Yarrowia lipolytica: one gene and its partner. The protein of the gene in region 1 interacts with the protein of each later gene in a biochemical or structural test. Links are inferred from orthologs where the notes say so. Each region holds a gene or a part of one and is shown on either strand. Other genes may lie near its edges.

Region 1 (11,464 bases):
CTTCCGTGTCCCGGAATTCACATGCTCTCAATGCCTTTGCTGCTACCGATTCGTCTCCCTTTGACGGATACTACGGCAAGTTCGATAACCAGACCGTGGCCAAGGTCGAGAGCTCCAGTATAGTCGATTCAGTCGAATCCGACACCATCCAGACGTCGCCCAGCTTCAACGGCCACACTCTGTCCAAAGAGGCTGTCGAGGAAGACAAGACTCAGGCAGACAAGGCTGCTGCCCTCAACGGCTTTGCCACGGTCACCCTCAACAAACAGTTCACCAAGAACTGGGGTCTGGACCGAATCTCGCACATTGAGAACGACATTCCCGAGGCCGCTGGCGGCAACTATTCCCTCATTCCCGAAATGGAGTACATCTACGGCCCCTCCAAGTACGACACCGTTGCTTATGTGCTGGACACAGGAGTCAATGTGACTAACAGTGGTTTTGGTGGACGAGCGTCCGAACCCGTCAAGTTCATCGAGGGTGAGCCTCCCGGAGACTACTCTGGCCACGGCACCCATGTTGCTGGTATCCTCGGCTCCTCCACCTTTGGAGTTGCCAAGGACGCCAAAATCATCTCCGTCAAGGTCCTCAATATGGGTAACGCTGGTCCTACCTCTGCTGTGGTCAACGGAGTTAACTGGATCATCCAGAATAACAACGCCACTCGGGCGGTCATCAACTACTCTGCCACTGGCCCCGTTTCCAAGGCCATGAACCAGGCGTTTGTCAAGGCCGTTGAAGCTGGTATCACCGTGGTTGTTTCTGCCGGAAACTTCATGAAGGACGCCTGCAACTACTCGCCCGCCAACCTCGGCTCGGTGATTGACGGAGCTATCGTTGTTGCTGCCTCTGACCAACACGACAAGTTTGCAGTCGGCTCCTCTTGGGGTTCCAATTACGGCAGATGCGTCAACGTATTTGCTCCCGGTACCGACATCCCTTCGCTGCACTGGAAGAATGAGAACCTGGTGTTCTTCGACTCTGGTACTTCTATGAGTGCCCCCTTTGTTTCTGGTCTGGTTCTCTACCACCAGTCCCAGAGCGACAACCCTTTGTCCCCCAAGGACGTGTCTGACAAGATCATCAACTCCAACCCCGGCCAGATCCAGAGCCCCATGCAGGACACCCCCAATGGCCTCGCCTATAATGAGGCTCTGGGCCAGGCTCCTCCTCCTACCACCACCGACCTTGGCCCCAAAATCCCCACCGGCCAGCCTCTTAATTAGAGAGACAGAAAACGAGAGCGAGAGCTAAGAATGCACCACTGAAAAGCCCCCAAATGGCATTATACGCTCCCGCGACGAGCCGCACAGTTTCAAATCTGTCCAAATACGTCCCATGCTGGCCTTCGTCTTTTCCCAACTGCACAGTTGTCCATTCTGCCCACTGTCTCTGCCAAATCCCTTCTTGATTCCCTCCATTATTTAATTCATTCGCCTCAATTGTATTTGCAATCGAACCTGCAACAGTAGCCGCCGTTTCCTGCAAATAAAATCAGCTATCGTACTCGTAGCTGCTGTATCGTAATGTGCCCCATTTTTCGCAGTGTGTGTGATATTTCGCTGCTGCTCATTTACCCACACATGATCAAAAGCCAAATTGGACCCCGTACATAATACGAGCCAATACGAGTGGGTAAAGAGGCGTCATTGATAGCCTTTTGGAGGTGGAAAAACGGTCCCTCCGATGCACGTGATTGACCAGGTCAACCCATATACAACCCGTGGGCCTTTCCTGTCTCAATTGCCCCACGGGAAGCCCTAGTTTTCTTGTCCACACCCCATGAGGTTCATGCATGATTCTGCACCAGGCAACAAGGAAACCTGACACTCTGCCACAAGAGGAGACGTTGAACAAAAATACGTATATATAAGATCGGAGAAGCTGGCCATGGGGCTCTGGAACACCAGCTTGATGCCCCCCTTCCAAACAACCGACTTTGAGGCACTTCAATGTCGCACCATCACCACCACCCCCACCTTCATCAGTTCTCGCTCCACTCCACCCAACCCCGTTTCTCGCCCTCCGACTGCTTTCGGGAGCCTATTGCCTTGGTCGGTGTGCCTGATAACAGCTGGTTACCTTTGGCTCCTAGAACCACCCGTCTGCCGAGTTTTTCCGAACTATTGTGGTCACTGGAAGAAACAGCAAGACCCATGTCTCCAGTATCCTCCGAGCAATCAGGGGACTCTTGCACCACCCTCTGGTCGCTCAACTCCAACCCGGGCTCCTCGCCTGAAGCCCCAAGTGCGCCCAACCCCAACCTTAACTATACTTACGAAAAATACCCATCTACAGTTGAGCCGATTAAACGGAAGTACGAGAACTCGGAGCAGGCTGTGATTGACAAGACTGCCCGGAAAAAGACACGGAAAACACCAGCAGCGTCAACCGTCAAAGCCATTAAGCCAAAAACGACCAAACCACGTGCAAAGAAGACCAAAGGCACAACATCTCCAGCCGACGCTTCCGAATCAGCGGCAGCCAGACCAGCCAGACCCCCTCCAGTCAAACCCCCTCCGCCTACTCCTGAACCAACCCTGGTAGAACAGCTCCTGGAACATGGGCTGTATGAAGGTGCTCAGCAAGACGCGTGCGAACGTCTGTACTGCTCCAAATGCCGCTCGTACGCCAAAAAGACTCGATTCGCAAACGTGGTTCGCCTGGCCACCCATCTTGACGTTAAACATCGGACTTTCCGACTCAAGATCTTCTGCGATCACAAACAGTGTCCTCGCTCCATTGTCGGTTTCGCCAGCAACAAGGAGAAACATGAACATCTCAAGCACATCCACGGACAAGTGCAAGAATAGAGTGAGATAAAGTATAGACGAGAATAGTTATTTATTGAGAGTAGCCAGTGTGTATGGAACAATATGTAGTGACTGAAGAGAAGACAGACGTGAGTATAACACGATAAAATCGGATGCACCCAACTACTTCCCTGCTATGATACCGGTATCACTCTTACAGATGGTGCCTGTTACTGCGAAGACTCATGCCGGACGGTAGCAACCCAGCTGTACTTGTCACGACTACACATACACGCCAATTAGTCATTTCATCCATTATATATCCATACCATCATTGCTGCATTACTGCAGACCCTTGATGACCTCCTCCTGTCGTTGCTTCTGCTTGGCGTCCTCAACGCCGCCCAGAGATCGCACCTGGCCCACAATGTCCCGGGCCTTGCCGAAATACACCTCCTGCAGCTGGTTTCGCAGCTTGGACTCCACGTCCTCAACAATGCTTCCGAGGTTTGCGATATGCTGAGAGGGTTCATCGACAGCCATCTCTCGCTCGGTCTGTCGAGTCAGGTTACCGGAAAGGCCGAGCTTGGGGGACTTGGAGCCCAGATCGAGAATCACGGTGGATGTGACCCGGTAGATCCCCTCTCCACGGCTGGTCTCAACCTCAAAGACGTGGATGGAGTCCCAGGACGACGAGGGCGAGGTCTTCTTGAGCAGCACAACGCCGGCAAAGCTGTTAGTATTGTCTCCTTCGCCCTGGTCCCACAGGTAGACCGAAGAGACTCCTCCCTCGTAGTACAGGTCTCTGTAGATGTCAAAGGAGTCGTTGGCGAGAACCTCGAGTTTGCGCAGAGCCGCCGAGGGCGTGGGGCCGTCTGTTGCGGGCTCGTAGTCGCCGGACCATGGGGATCGGAACGAGTCGCCGTCTCGGTTGTAGTCGCAAGTCAGGTACTCCTTTTTGGTGGATTTGCAGGTCTTGACACCGAGAGGCTGGTCGACGGAAGACAGCAGGTCCTCCGCAAGTTCCGGAGCAATCTTGCACAGGGAATTGAGGTTGACGCTGACGTTTTTGGGATCCAATCGTCGCAGAAGAGACAGAGCAGCGTCGTATTGTTCGTCAGACTGGGTTAGCGATTGCGCGACGGCCGGGGGGAGGAAGATCACGTGGAATCTATGGGGCGCAATGCCACGTGACTGCCATGTTTACTGTCAGTCCGAATTGTGTCTGTTACTCACCATGGTGGACGGTTGGGTATGTACTGTACTGTACTGTTGTGATGATGATGTTCAGATATCCACTGCTGTTAACACCGCATGCATTAGTCGTGCGTTACTACAAGTAGTGGGATTGGGGAAAGTTTATTTTGGGAAAAACGTAGGAACATAAGAAGCAGAAGTAGGGAGCTGGAGGAGGGTGTTGTAGAGTGAGTGTCGCGGGTGTGGGGGTGTCGAGGTTGTTGGAGGAAATGGTGGCATTAATTACCCTTTAAATAGGGCTATAAGTGTTCTAATTGCTATCTGTGGCATTATTTTGTCATGGGTGAAACTAATTTAATTTACCTCAGTTAAGTTTCAAGTAACTCCCGTCTAAAATTTCAAAAGAGAAATTAAAATTTATAGCGAAAATTCAGTTTCTGAATATAACCCAATAAGTAGTTGAAGTGTAAGCTGGGACACGTTTTGACTGGTGGTTGTACTTAAAAAGACCGAATGACACATTGAAGACGGCTGAATGACACACTGATACCGAGCCTCGGGAAACACTTACCAGCATACGACGAAATCCTGACAAATACGGCCTTTCCTTATCTCGAAACACGACCCAAGCACCAAACGCCAATTTGTATTGTCTATACTCCGGAGTTAAATAATTACACCTTCCATCGCGACTTGTAGTTACATTATCAGATTATGTAATACAGAGGTATATTTTATGTATATTTTATGTATATTTTATGTATATTTTATGGACAAGATCTCGACTGATAATGTATACCATCCTACCAACGGAACCGAGCGTCTCAGCATTGTCTACTATATCACCACCCATTCATCTTTCCATCTTCCACCTTGTCTCGCCCTGTTTCACCATCGCCGTGTTCCCTAACCCTATGCATTATCGTGCATGTTCCAACCTACTTGGTGGAGCAACTAACCGTCTTCACGAAACGCACTAGAACGATGAAGAGACTCATTCCGACGGTAATATCGGTATTGCTGGTGTTTCTTACACTCACAAGCCCTGTTCAGTCGGCAGGATGCAGCATATACGGCAACTGTGGAAAGAAATCACTATTCGGCAGCGAACTACCCTGTCCGACACCACAAGACAAGGCTGGTCCGTTTGAGCCTTCCAAGGGGGATCTGGATCTGCTAGGAGAGATCTGCGGCGAGGTTTGGACACACGAGAAACTTTTATGTTGTGATACGGCGCAGATCAAGGATCTGAAGAACTCGCTGAAGAAGGCCGATGGTCTGATTTCATCGTGTCCGGCTTGCAAGTCCAATTTTTACGAATTCTTCTGCAAGTTCACATGTGCCCCTGACCAGCGCGACTACGTTAATGTGACACAACTGGGCAAATCGACAGACGGACGAGATATCGTGACAGAGTTGAGTTACTATGTGAAACCAGAGTGGGCTCAGGGGTTCTACGACTCGTGTAAAGACATCAAGTTCTCGGCGACCAACGGCTACGCCATGGACCTGTTAGGAGGCGGTAGACACGGATACAAGAACTTTCTCAAGTTTCTGGGGGACGAAAAACCCATGCTCGGAGGTTCCCCCTTTCAAATCAACTTCCCCTGGCCCGAAGATGAGAAGGACAAAAACTACCCTCCCAAGGGAATTAAGCCCGTGGAGCCTGTTCTTCGAGACTGTGCAACAGGTGCTTACAAATGTGCATGCAGTGATTGTGAGGGTGCTTGTCCTGAGTTGCCTAACATCAAGAAACATGGAGCTTGCAAGGTTGGACATCTTCCTTGTCTGAGCTTCGCGGTGATCATCATCTACTCAGTGGTTCTTCTCGGCGCAATTGCAGGTTCCTGGTTTGTTCACAGTCATACGCTCTTCTCTGGAGCCACTCTAGAGGACCAGTACATGACTTCCAGATGGTACCAGAACCCCCATGCGTCAGAGAAGTACACCACTTATCCTATCAACCGATTCTTGCAATACTGGGTGTCTCGAATTGCGCTTTTCTGCGCTTCATACCCTGCAGTGACCATTGGTTTTACGGTCACCCTGTCTATTCTCATGTCAGTTGGCTTGACCAGGTTTCAGGTTGAAGAGAACCCAGTAAGATTGTGGGTATCCGAGGATTCTACTCCTTACCTCCAGAAAGAGAACTTTGACAACAATTTCGGCCCCTTCTACCGTACCGCTCAGGTTTACCTTGTCAACACAACAGGAAGCGTGGTCAACCAAGAGAATCTGGTATGGTGGCAGGGAGTCGAACAGCAGATTATCAGCCTACAGGTGGAAGGCACCTCTTTCAATGACTTCTGTCTAAAGCCCACAAACGATGCCTGTGTCATTCAGAGTTACACTCAATATGGAATTAATCTAAACTCTCCAGACTGGGCCACTCAGTTGCAAACTTGCACTTCTTCCGCAGTGCAGTGTCTGCCACCTTTTGGACAGCCTCTCAACATGAATCTGCTATTTGGAGGCTACAATGAGACCTCTCGTGATCCTCTCTCTGCCCAGGCTCTCGTCATTACCCTTGTTGGAGAAGGTTACCTAGAAGATGATCCTCAAGAAGCACGAGCTCAAAAGTGGGAAAAGGGTCTGATTGATGTGCTCCTGGATGTTCAACACGAGGCATGGAGACGAGGTCTACAGCTCTCCTTCTCTACTGAGGCTTCTCTTACTGAAGAGCTGAACAAGAGCACCAACACAGATGTGAAGATTGTTGTCATCTCGTACCTCGTCATGTTCCTCTACGCCTCCATGGCTCTCGGAGGAGGCTCTGGTAAGGCCAAGTTCGGCCTCGGACTCTGTGGTATCATCATTGTGCTTCTGTCTGTAGCAGCTTCTGCTGGCATCTGTGCTGCAATTGGTATCAAGGCCACTCTCATTATTGCGGAGGTTATCCCTTTCCTGGTTCTTGCTGTCGGCGTGGACAACATTTTCCTGCTTTGCCATGAGATGGACGCTGCCAATATCGCCTACCCTAATGACAGTGTTGACACACGAGTCTCCAAGGCTGTAGGCAGAATTGGACCCAGTATTGTCATTTCTGCAATCACTGAGACATTGGCTTTTGGATTGGCTGCGACGGTGAAGATGCCTGCTGTTCGAAACTTTGCCATATACGCTGCTGGTGCGGTGTTTATTAATGCCATTCTGCAGCTGACTATTTTTGTGTCTGTCATGGCACTCGATCAGCGACGACAGTCAGCCCCCATTCAGCTCGCTGACTCCTATGACCTAGACTTTAACATTCTTGAGCATCGAGAGAACCTATTCTCTAGACTTATCCGACGATACTACGCTCCCTTCTTACTCAAGAAGAAGACCAAGAAGATTGTGCTTGCTGTGTTTGGAACTTGGGCTGCTGTCTCTCTGATTCTCTGGCCCATGCTGCAACTTGGGCTTGATCAACGTCTTGCTGTTCCTTCGGATTCTTATCTTGTTCAGTACTTTGATGACATCTATGACTACCTCAATGTAGGCCCTCCTGTCTACTTCGTTGTGTCTGGCCTGAATGCCACTAGCAGAAACGGACAGCAGTCGTTGTGTGGAACATTCACGACTTGTGAGGATTACTCTTTGGTGAACATTGTCGAGCAGGAGAGAAAGCGACCCGAGCTGTCTTACATTAGCGAGCCCGCCTCTTCTTGGATCGACGACTATCTCAAGTGGCTGAATCCAGATCTTGATGAGTGCTGTCGAGTCAAGAAGACCGACAAAGACGTTGCCTGTCCTCCTCGAGCCTCCCCGCGAGCTTGCAACGTTTGTTTCAAGGACAGGGATCCTGCTTGGAATATCACAATGTCTGGTCTGCCCCAGGGACCTGAGTTCATGCATTACTTTGACTTCTGGATCGATGCTCCTTCTGACCCTTGTCCTCTTGGAGGTAAGGCTCCCTACAGTGACGCCGTTGTCTATGACAGTGATGATGTCCTCACGTCCCATTTTAGATCGTTCCACACACCTCTCAGGTCACAAAAGGATTTCATCAATGCGTTAGCAAGTGCCAAGCGTATCTCCAAGGATATTGAGAAGACTCTAGGAGGTACTGAGGGGTCTGTTTATGCTTACTCGCCCTTTTACATTTTCTTCGATCAGTACTCGTACATCATCAAGCAGGCATTTGCCCTGATTGGAGGAGTACTGGCAGCTGTTCTGGTTTTGCTGGCTATCATTATGGGGTCTGTCAAGACATCTTTCACTGTTGTTCTGACAGTGTCACTAATGTTGATAAACATTGTTGGTTTCATGGCCATTTGGAATGTCAATCTGAACGCCATCTCGCTAGTGAACCTTGTTATTTGTGTTGGTCTAGGAGTGGAGTTCTGTGTGCACTTGGCGCGTGCATTTACGACTGTTTCGGCCAATTCTTCGCATATCCGAATGTCTCCCACCAAGAACACCCGTACTTTCGAGGCTCTTGTGGGTGTAGGAGGCTCTGTCTTTGGTGGCATTGCCATGACCAAGTTCCTGGGAGTATTTGTGCTAGCATTCACGCGATCTAAGATCTTCGAAGTTTACTATTTCCGAGTGTGGTTAGCACTGGTCATTGTGGCTACCACCCATAGTCTGATTCTACTGCCGGTGTTGCTCACTTACATTGGAGGCAAGGGATATGTTTATGATGATGGAGAGCAGGATTTGGAGGGAGAGTTGGCTAGTCGGTTCTTGTCTTCCTACGATAATGACACTGAAGAGGAGGACTAACTTATAGATGATATGATTGATAAACGAATTTTTCCCGGCTGTTAGCCGCTAGCTAGTGTATTTTAGTCGCTTAGGATAGTCGGCGTGCGTAGAACAATGGCGTAAAATTGTTTCTAGAGTGATATACGAACAATCTAGTTCGGTATGAACCCCAACCCAGTATGCACTAGTAGGGAGAGTTGCCAGTTCCGTAAAAAGTAAACGACTCGGTTGTTCAATAGGACCCTGTTCTGTCAAAACAGGGGCTGGAGGGTACGTTCTAAGCGAGTATTGTATTTTAAGAAGTCCGAACAATAGGGATGCGCATTACAAGGGACTAACGACACGCTAATGCAATGCACAGTACAGTACAGTACACTACAGTAGTGTAATTGGTTGACACAGCTTCCACTGACAACACCAATGCACGCCTAGATCCATTCTACACACAAGATGTTCATTATTGGATTTTTCACAGTCCGACTACTATGCTGAAATCGAAAGATGCAGCATTGACGACTGCGAATAGAAGCTGTGACATTATGGTGGTGCGGCAAAATGTACAGTACACTTGCGGTATTGCCGATTGCACTGTTCATACAGTACTACTGTACACAAGCTGTACCCGATGGTGTGTGTCCACAAAGGTCATCAACGGAGGATTGGTGAATCGACTATTTCAAAGTAGTGTCTTCATATTTGAACCCATTGTAAAACGCCGCTCAACGCTTTTCATGCAGTAAAATTAATTTATCGGTCGTAAGCGGTATACTAATGTACTCTCATAGAGTCTGGACGGCACTGGAACATCGAGCCGGGTGAGATCGTACGATTTTTTTTATGCATGGGGTTAACATTTATTTAGGTTGCATAATACATGCAAGTTAGCGAGTCCACCTAAACCCACAACACAACGAGGAGAGCGACAGATATGTCATTACGCTGACACACACAACCGTCCTGATACCACAATTTCTGACTAAGCTCCTTTTGTCAAATTTCCCCCAATTGATTCGATAATCGCTTTGACAACGCTTGTTTCTGCAGCCTATCGACTGATACCAATGCATACGTAGCGATCCAACGCTTGCGACACATGCTCCGTAGAACTCCACTTGCACGCAGTTTAAGGGTAGACTCGAATTGGCATAAGTGGGCTTACAAGCGATAATTACGCTCTCTATCATACCCTCCACAGTAGACTACTGCACCATTACTGTACATCGGCGGGACTAGTTGCGCCCGAGAGAACAGTAGCGAACGAAAAGCAGATCACACTACTGCAGGTAAGGAGGCAAAACTCCGACACATACGCTGCATCCAAGGGTGAGTATGGGCCATGGCAGCTCGACTTATATATATTTGAAGGGAGCGGCCAAGCTAGCCTAACCTCACACACAAATGCTTACTCACTACTTCATTGCGGCCCTTTTTCTGGCCACGTTCGTTTGGGCGGGAAGCGCCTTGAACAACCCTATCACCGGAATCAAGGCACAGCTCTCAAATAATCGGACTGGCCCTGGCTATTACTGGGACACCTGGGAAGTTGTGGTCGACTTCGCTTTCAACAAGTACTCCCTCGAAGACATCAGAGGTGGTGATTTCTTCGGCTTCACTCTTGCGGGAAAACAGCTCAATCCCCGTGGTCCCAAGGACAAGGTTCCAGTCGATTATGACTTCTACATTGTCAACTATGACGGGCGGAGACTTTTCCATGTCACTACAACAAGCGATTCTTACAACTTCCGAGCTACCGCGACCAGCGTATTCGACAACCCCTCAATGGAGGTTCTTGAGCTCTCTGGACAGCTCACTGTCGAGTTTCTGGTCAAGCCCAACTCACCTGTTGGACTGTCAGATGTTTCTATTGGCCCTTGGTCCAGCAGCATCAATCTTGAGGATCCAGACATGGCTGACGCTGATGCAGGAGCTTGCTGGTGGAATATTGACAGCTACCAACCGGCAAACAATGGAAACTCTCAAAAAATCTGTGCTCAACAAGGCCTTCCATATCCCCCCAGTGGTTATGGAAGGGCATATCTGAAGACTATCATACATCCTATGTACACCAAGGTTGTCACTGGACTCACTGCCGGCTCGGAGACTCTTGTGGACGACAGAAATATTCCATATGAGCGGGTTACTACCACTCCTGCAAGCACAATTACAGTCGCTGGCTATGAAACTGGCTTGGAGTTCTTCGAGTCCGTTGGCAGCATCTTCGAGCGAACTACTGAAACTCCTGCATACACCACTACAGTGGAAGGTCTCAAGGCTGGTTCCGAATTTCTGACAAATTCTGAGCACGTCCTGTACGAGCAGGTAACGGCAATTCCGGCCTTCACTTCTACAATTGCTGGATATGAGGCAGGCTCTCAGCTCCTCGTTGATCCTCTCAATGGTGTTGTCTTCAAGCAGATCACTATCACTCCTGTTTCTACTTCCACTGTGGTAGGACATGTGGTGGGTACCGAGTTGCTCAATGACTCCGAGGGCATTCTCTATGAGCAGATTACTGTTACGCCCGCATTCACCACCACCATCCCTGGACATCAGGCTGGATCCCAGTTCTTGTCCAATCCGGTTGATGGTGTGATTTTTGAACAGGTTACTGAGACACCAGCTTTCACTACCACAGTTCCTGGTCATAGAGCGGGGTCCCAGTTCACCGTTGATTCAAATGGTACCATTTTCGAACAAGTTACTGTCACTCCTGTGAGCACTTCTACTGTTCCTGGACACAAGATGGGCTCTGAGTTCGTGTGGGATGTTATGGATGGTGTTTTTGCTGAGCGGGTCACTGTAACTCCTGCTTTCACCTCTACGATTGC
Region 2 (8,625 bases), on another chromosome or scaffold:
AAAATGGAATATTAATTTATTATTTATCAAATTAAATAATAAATACATTATTATTTATCAAATTTAATACGTTAGGTATATCATTCGATTTTATTTGGATTGATCTTGACACAGGTACAAATAATGACAGAAAACGGCCATGAATACATTTATTCGACAAAATCTGCAATTATCTGGCGAGCCGTTTACCTTGGTACAAGTACGAGTTACGATACCAAGATTTGGCGATATCATCACTTTCTGTAGCAACACTCGACTCACCTACCGTAGAAAACCCGCCTCACAAAATCGCCCCAAAAACTTCAGCAACATGAGGCCAAACAAATGATACAGAGACAGAGACATGACACGTCGACTGGCGTTTAATGCCAAATATCGTGAATATAAGGAGGAGCAGATCCGCAACTTTCCTCTTACTTCGACACAACAATTATTCACACAAAAAATGGCCGTTCCACGCACTCCTGGAACCTACTCTTCTGCCGTCAGTATCCCGCCGCTACTGAGATGCCAAGTCTGCTTGGGCTCTTTTCCTCCTCACATCTTTGACAAGCACATTCCCTACTGCCATGAGTTTCAGCGACAAATTCTCAAGGATTATTGATTGATAGAGGTATAGATTTATTGACGCATGGAAAATACAAAAAAAGGAAAAAAACAGATGAAAAAAATTCAGACGACCTCGGAGAGGGTCGAACTCTCGATCTTACGATGGCGGCCATTTAGGTGACTAACAGTCGTACGCCTTAACCAACTTGGCCACGAAGTCTGAACTTAATGTTAAAAATTCGAATTTTATATATATTGAGGTTATTCGATTAGTCAGCGCTGAATCATCCCGAATAAAAATGACTCATTAGCATTGAAGAAAAGCAATTTTTTGTTTAATTTCAGGTATATACGAAACGAAATAATAAAACCCTGTTCACTATTCCAAAATCCAGCAGTTTACTTCCTGACCCAGATCAAGAGTTGTGCCTAGACTTGACTCTGGCATGCGATAGGTATAGTACACCTTCCTGAGCCACTCTGGCCCATATAACGTCATTATCAATGCATGGATATTACTACAATACTATAAATTAATCAAAACGTCCTCGTAACCAAACTAAAAGTCGTCATCGTCAGGTTCATCTTCCTTGACACCCTCCAGGACCTTGACTAGGGTCATGACGCAAACCTCCAGGTTCACCACCAGATACTCGGATTGTCAGGAGGCAGCGATTTCTTCTCGCGGGCGTGGAGGACCCATAATGACGCTCATATCTGTCGCCCCAATGGCCCCTAGACCAGTATCAGTCATGGCAGACCATCCACTGTTGATCATGTTGTCAATTCTCATCTCCTGATGGTCCAACCAAGCCTTGGAGAAGGACCAACAGTGAACTTGGCCAGCAATGACTCCAAACACAGAGATGGGCTTAACAGACATAACAGATAGCGTTTCTGTGTCCAGGAACCGGTTGCGGGTCTTGATATATCTTCCAGTCATAATGTCGCTCGTGGCATGCGAAAAGAGATCCTTTTGAGGGCCGTCCCCACACACGTTTCGAATGTACATGGCCGAGGCATTTTTTGTGTCGAGATACCACTCTTGGATGCTTGTGTTTTCGCTCATGTCGTCTTCCTCCGTCACAGTGAGCCACAACAGTCCCTTGACGACAGCCACACAGGTCACATGGCCCGTGGGTCCTCCCTTGATGATTCTGCATGTCATTTGTTCGTAGTCACACAGCAGAAGCATTTCCAGTTTGAATCTCCAAACGCGCACGAGCGAGAACCGATCACACAATTGCGCCACTCTCAAGTTGTCGATATCTGTCAAGCATCTGGGCAGCTTGAGATCCGTAATTTTACCTCTACCGACTCTTCGGAGAGCTAGAGGGGTTCCATCTCGTCCCGTGAGCTGGTAACTGAGTCTCTGATCAGCAATATCAAAGACCAGAACGGGAGCTTGGCGTGAGGACGCCAGAAAGTCCCGATCAGGGTTCATGTGGAAGTACTCCGTCTTCTGTAGCACGTGGGGAAGTCTTAACAGTGTGTTTGCGGGGATTGTGTTTTCAACATGGACACCTCCGGTAATGAGATTAAGGGAGAAAACGACATGTGTTTGTCGTTCGCCAACACCCACAGTCTTGCACCATCTGAGTCTCAAGCCCTCAGAGGCCCATCTGTTGAGAGGAGCGGCATCCGAGTCTTTAAACAGCTGTTTGATGTTTGTGTCCAACGGCAGGTACTGGTCGTGATGCTGGACAATGTCCACATGTTCCGAGAGTGTTTTTGTCGGCGTGGGGACGTCCATTGTCTGTCTGAAGGCTCTGGATTTTCTGATTGCGGTCTCAACCCTCAGCTTGGCCGCTGAAAGATGATCTGGTCGGCCCTCAAGATGTGGGTTTTGCAGCGGGAACAAATGTGTCGAGAGCCCCGAGTAGTGTTCGCGACTGTCAACCAGGGCAGCGTGGAGATAGCGGCTGGTGCGCATCAGGTTGAGAATCTCCTGGGGGTTGTCCAGTCCCACGTAGTATGCGATTTGGTGTATGATTTCGAGCGGCAGAGCAAGCATTGGAGAGGCGTGGGGCTGTAAGGGGCTGTGGGCAGGCTGTTAAGTATGAGTCGTATGCCCCTGGTTACTGCCAGTTTCTGGGGTTGGTGGAAAATATGGGGATGGAGAAGGTGGGACGGAAAGAGGAAGCTGGGAGGGTTGTGCAGATGGGGATCGGAGAGAATCGCGGGGACAAGTCGTATTGAGATGAAAGTTTGATCGTTCGATAGCTACAAAGTCGACTAGTCCGAATTTAAGGCCACAATGACTTATTTGTTTTGGCATCGATTTATTGGCGATGTGTCTGCACCGCACCCATAAGCTTCAGGACCTCATTAGTGTGCAGCAACCATGTGTGATAGCGTGATCTGCGCATGGCTGGCGGGAGGCGAGCAATCGGGCAGGGTAACCGCAGTTGATGGGGGAAAGATTGCGGTGGAAACGAAGGCACCGGTCTTTAAACTACCGTGGAGGACCCGTCTTCAAGAGGAAGTTGCTGCCAAAGTTGCTGCCAAAGGCCCCACCTGACAATAAGCGTCAGCTGACGGGATTTACAGAAAATGTGGAGCTACTTGTAGATAGAGGTTGAGTGGGCTAATATCTAATATATGACGCCTTAGTGTTGGTGGAGTGGGGGCAATTGGAGCGAATGGGTGGTGTAAAATGGGGAAATTCCGAATGAAAGGTAAAAGTAATGAATAACACTGGTTTTGGGGACCTTTTGGTGGCGCTATTTTGCATCTACCGCCGCTTTGGATGCTTCCTAAATTGTTGGCGATTTTACTCGATTTTTCCCTAACAATTCCCTTTCCGTCAAAGTTCAATTAGTCCCAATTAGGCGCGAGGATGACGTCATTTGGGTGAGATTTACGACGGTGAGGAAGAGATACAAATGGTCGAATGTTTGAACAAGATGTAAAGTACGAGTACGAGTACGGGTACGATACTGGACTATCAGGGGTGTACTTTGTAGTTGGCGGTTAACAGGATGCGCCAGCGATCTGGAAGCTGCTGTAGAATGGGGAAAGTAGCTTGGAGGTGACTGGGGCTGTATAGAGGCATTAAAGACACTGGAGCACTGGAGCACTGGAGGCATTAGCGGTATTAATGCTCGTTAGAATCACGTCCGTCTTGAATATCTTCAGTGCAGGTTAGATCCTTTGCCTTTCCCTCTCTTTCCCTCTGCTACTTCGCGGTTATGGACTCCTTCCGTCGTTTGCGCGACCCCAACGTCTTTAACAGTATCGCTCAATGTCCTCCATTGCCTTGACCAAGGCCCGCGACTTGATGTTCATCAAATCAATCCAACAGAGCAAGGGAGTGAGCAGGGACTCAAACTTCTCCACCAGAAGCTGCAGAGACGGGTTCGGCACAGATCTCGACATAGGAACGCGAGAGTTGAACAGGTTCCCACAGCATCAATTCGAATCGGATCATCTTCTTGAATCCCGAGCCGAAATGGTCGAAACCGTTATCTGAGCTGCGCTCGCTGTAAAAGAGAACTTGTTAAGCGTCACGGGATCGTCATTTGTTTTTCGTGGCTTTCTTTGAACGAACCGCTAGGCTTGGTGGGAGTAGGCTTATTCAAATCCAGCATCTCGTCCTTGGTCGCTTTCATTCGACGTTTAATCATTCAGCCCGTTGAAACTGCATGATAAGTGGAGAAGGAGGAGCAGAATGTCAGAGTAGCAGAATGTGAGAGTAGCAAAATGTCAGAGTAACCGCAGAAGTTGACATATATTATGAACAGGGTCACTCAGAATCTCGACTAAAGTCCCGCGGAACGCAACACCATTGGAAAGCGACTTCTCCTTGAGAATAGGTAGACTAGGGCGAGGGAATCTGACCAGAGACTCAGTATTCAAAAGTTCCGCAATTAAAGAAGATACGAAATGGGATTGGGGAGAGCTCTCTATCGATATGTCCGACATATGGTCGCCATGGATGGTATTCACTGGATATATCTTCTCTTCTGTACCTTCTGTGTTCTCTCTCCACTGCCCACGTGATACGGCACTTCCCTTACAATCACCTATATTTCAACTTCATCTCCGGACCTGCATATCTGCAACTTCGTAGACTCCAAAAGGCTTATACCGTCAAAAACGCAGATATTACCGTGACACCATACCAATATTGTTCAACCGATGAAATCCCCTCGAAAACGTGATCATTTTGGTACCACATGAGCCCCACCAGTCTCATTAAAAACAGCCCCTTGCGTGGGTTCCGTTCGCCTTATGAGGCTGACATGTATCTCAGCACAGCCGTCCCAAGGTGATTTGGACCTACAGTAGTTACACTGTACCAAAGCGACCACCAGAAAGGGCTTTTGCCGACTTCTGAAGTCCAAAGCGAGGTCTAGCGAGGTTTAAATCGGCCCCAACACGGTTGCAAAACACTTTAAACCCGCTCTTAATCGCTGGTGTCCTTTTTTCTCCCTCTCTTATACTCCTGTCGATGCTGTATCTGGGTCTGAGACAGCCTATCTCGGCTGATATCAGATGGAGGAACTTTAGGACGAGGTTGCATGAGGGGGATTCATTGGCCAAAAGGAGGAGTTTATAACTTTTTTAAAAATATATAAAAATTAAAATATGAACGAAAACATCGCTCTCAATTTATGGGAAATTTTTGTGATTTAATACAAAATGTTTTCCCGCCATTAGAACCCCCACCTCTCCCCGCTAATAAAGTTAGATTAACGCCACCGCTGCATATTCGACGTGCTAACATTGCTGATGAGCCTCTTTTTCTCCTCCTCCACAACAACACATCACATCACACTCCACACCATGAAACTGTCCATTCTGCCTTTGATCGCCCTCGCCACGGCCGTGGTCGCCTCGCCCGCGCCCGATGCAAACTCCATGAAGCTCATGAACCAGGCCAAGGACTTCGGCATGTCGGTTGCCCAGGGAGGACTCAAGGACATTGCAAAGACCCTGGACGACGAAGACATCCCCGGAGACTCGCCCATCTCGCTGTGCGACGCCGAATACGAGCAGCTGCTGGAAATCAAACACCTGTCCATCGACCCCAACCCCCCGGCCAAGGGCCAGAACCTCACCATCGAGGCGTCCGGATACCTCTACGAGGACGTTGAGGAGGGCGCCTACATCGAGGTCGAGGTGCGATACGGCTACATCCGGCTCATCAGCCAGACTCTGGACCTGTGCGAGCAGTCCGAACAGGTCGACTGGTCCTGCCCCATTAAGGCCGGCGACCTCAAGCTCAACAAGCAAATTGAGCTGCCCAACGAGATTCCTCCCGGAAAGTACGTTGCCGTCGCCCGAGCCTACACCGTTGATGACGATCTCATCACCTGTCTTCTTACCACTGTTACCTTCCCTGCTTCTTTGTAGGTCGAATGATAACAGCATAGTATGGCGTCCCCCCTCAGTACCGCGCACAACTAACTGCATATAATTGATGAATGATGACTATTTTAGAGTGGGGGAGAAGCTAGCCAAGAGTCCAGGGCTGTTGAGAATCTTGGAGACAAACTGTGCTATGGCAAACGGTACTGTAGACATGTTCACACGGGCAGCATGAAAGCTTACCAGCTAGCTGAGGTTATCTACAGGTGCAAGTATCGTATGTACTTGTAGTTGGTTGCTACATAGTTGGGTATGTTTTAATACTGATATCGAAACATTCATAGTAGTTATTCGGTCTGAAAAAACAACAGCTTGATTGAGCATGGAACTCGATCTTCCTAGAAGTTGGAAGAGACGCCAGCATACACAGATGGTAGATCTACCCTACACTTCGATGAGTTTCAGACCATTCGCGAGAACTATTCAGTTTACTCACTTTCTACAAGTACACCCACTGACTCGAACCCGGACCCGCCAAAGAACAACCGACAAGGCTGTATCTAGATTTAAAACACTATCTGCAAGCGGATTTCGACAAGCGGATTTATCCAACATGGAGCTCTTCCCATGTTTGATGGTCGTGCCCCGGTCGTGCCCCGAGTCGCATGCCAGGTATGTTGCCCGTAGCTACCTGTACACTCATTGAATAGACCTCTACCAGACATGTTGAAACCATAAGCACTCACGATCTACGCTCATGTGCCTGCGTTCTTCATATCTGCTCAATAATTGCTCAACCGTCTCAGATACCTACATTATCTGTCTGCGTTATCTCAACCTTTAGGTCGATTAGATATTTGCTCATGCAACGGCGATGGTATTCTAACTGTAAGGTTGCTGTCTACAGACTGAGGAGTACTCATCAGGGGTGTGTATATATCATATGTTCATATTTATCATGCACCGGAGTTCGGTGTTGTGTCACAAGTACTCAAAATATAAAAAAGTACCAGTGGTTGGTCATGTCTGCATTCAGCATGGTCGAGTCCTTGATCCCACTTAAGAAGTGCTGGCAAGAAGAGGAGCGTCAGAGTCCACAGACTCTCGGTTCTCGGCCGCGGTGTTGGCCGAGTTGGGCATGCTGTTGGTGCCGTACTGGGAGCTCTTGTTAGTGCCCTGGCCCTCAACGTTCATATCAGCGGAGTAAACAGCCGAGGCTCGCTGGAAGAGTCGGTCCTCGTCGTCGTTCTGAGGAAGTCGAGTAAACTTCTTGGACTGCCACGCTCGAGGGTACAGGGGGTTGTAGCCAGTCTTCTCCTTGACCAAAGACACGTAGACGGCCACAATGATGAAGATCCAGTAAAAGTTGTAGGAGATGACAGAGCCGTAGGTGGCCGAGTTGGTCCATCCAAACAGCGCGTTGGCAATCATCCATCCTCCATCGGTCTGACCGTTGCAGCAGTTGACGTGCCACACGGACTTGGTGATGTCGTAGGAGCCGGGTCCAGAGCCGGTCTCAGATACGTCCATACCAACTCTGTTAACGAACTGCTGCAGCTCCAGGAACCACACTCCACGGGAGAAAAGACCGGCGGCCACCAGGTACAGGAAGCACGTGGAGCCAATGAGGAAGTAGTTGATGGAGATGGCGTTGCCATACTTGTACATGGCGTAACCAATGAAAGCACCAAGGGCAATGGCGGTGATGACGGGAAGGGGGAAAGCAGAGAAAGGCTGGTTGACACCGATACCGCCGAGGAAAACCACGGCCTCCATTCCCTCTCGAAGGGTGGTCACAAACGGTAGGATGGCCAGAGCGTACTTTCGAGACAGGTACTTGAGGCCCCAGCCGCCGTGGCCCTCGTGGGTCTCGACCAGAATCTTGGCAATCTTGTGTCGCCACTTTTCTCGCATCTTGTTGATTCGCAGCATGGCGGCTCCCATGATGGTGATAATGATGGACGAGACAATGGAGAAGACGCCCTCCCACACGTTCTCAGTCATGCCCCACAGATCGTGTCCGTAGATGTAAAAGGTGGCAATGAACGCACCTCCCACGGCCAGACAGATGAGCAGACCGAAGATTCCACCCAGCCATACCTGGGTAACAAGCCGTCGATACACTTGCAAGTCCTTCTGGGACACATTATCGCCCAGACCCTGGTTGAGGAACGCCAGAAGCACGGAGATGATAATCGCCGTCTCAATGGTCTCTCGGAAGATGATGAAGAAGACCTGAACCGAGAAATAATTCTCGAAAAAGTCCGCGTAGTTGACCATGTTGTGTTGTGGAGTACAACCTGGAAAGAGTGAGTCTGGTAATTAAAAGCGACTTTTCAAAATAAGCTCCGTAGGGGTTAGAGTTGGGCGGCGTGGTGGTGGACATTTATCAAGGGGCAATCGGGGGTTATAGGGGCGGAATTTGAACGCAAAAAACAGATCATCCCACTACTAACGCGACAATAAATAGATTCAAAACATCTCCCGTTCAATTTGGCCGTCCCTATAGCTCTTTAAACGCCTCTCTTATCTGATGTTGCTCCATCTGATAACTGCACAACCTAATTATCCGGAGCCTATTTTTCTGCGTATAACCGTAACGGAGGAAACAACAAAACGGTGGCAACAGCTCCCAGAATCGTCGCAAACCGGGAAGTAAAAGGCGAAAATTCCTCACAGTCACGTGAGAAGTTTGTGCCCGTCACATGATGTCCAGGGTTCCGTCTTGGGTTCCTGGTACCCTGTTATTTCGCCATCCCATCA

What was found.
Region 2: the proteins of YALI1_C28716g (region 1) and YALI1_A05003g form a complex in vitro, tested with the Saccharomyces cerevisiae proteins (2 studies listed by BioGRID). The link is inferred for Yarrowia lipolytica from reciprocal best matches to the Saccharomyces cerevisiae genes NCR1 and NPC2.

The regions. Positions count from the first base shown.
Region 1 is NC_090772.1:2,866,745-2,878,208, forward strand, and holds YALI1_C28716g (uncharacterized protein), read left to right. Parts: upstream 1-4,934; coding exon 4,935-8,654; downstream 8,655-11,464. Other genes in the region: YALI1_C28664g (uncharacterized protein), read left to right, coding at 1-1,226; YALI1_C28686g (uncharacterized protein), read left to right, coding at 1,953-2,813; YALI1_C28706g (uncharacterized protein), read right to left, coding at 3,096-3,875, 3,990-3,992; YALI1_C28767g (uncharacterized protein), read left to right, coding at 10,035-11,464. UniProt on the Saccharomyces cerevisiae protein: Involved in sphingolipid trafficking. May recycle sphingolipids between cellular membranous compartments.
Region 2 is NC_090770.1:495,052-503,676, forward strand, and holds YALI1_A05003g (uncharacterized protein), read left to right. Parts: upstream 1-5,283; coding exon 5,284-5,907; downstream 5,908-8,625. Other genes in the region: YALI1_A04976g (uncharacterized protein), read right to left, coding at 1,211-2,563; YALI1_A04983g (uncharacterized protein), read right to left, coding at 3,094-3,337, 3,394-3,638; YALI1_A04990g (uncharacterized protein), read right to left, coding at 3,875-4,031, 4,096-4,175; YALI1_A05031g (uncharacterized protein), read right to left, coding at 6,922-8,142.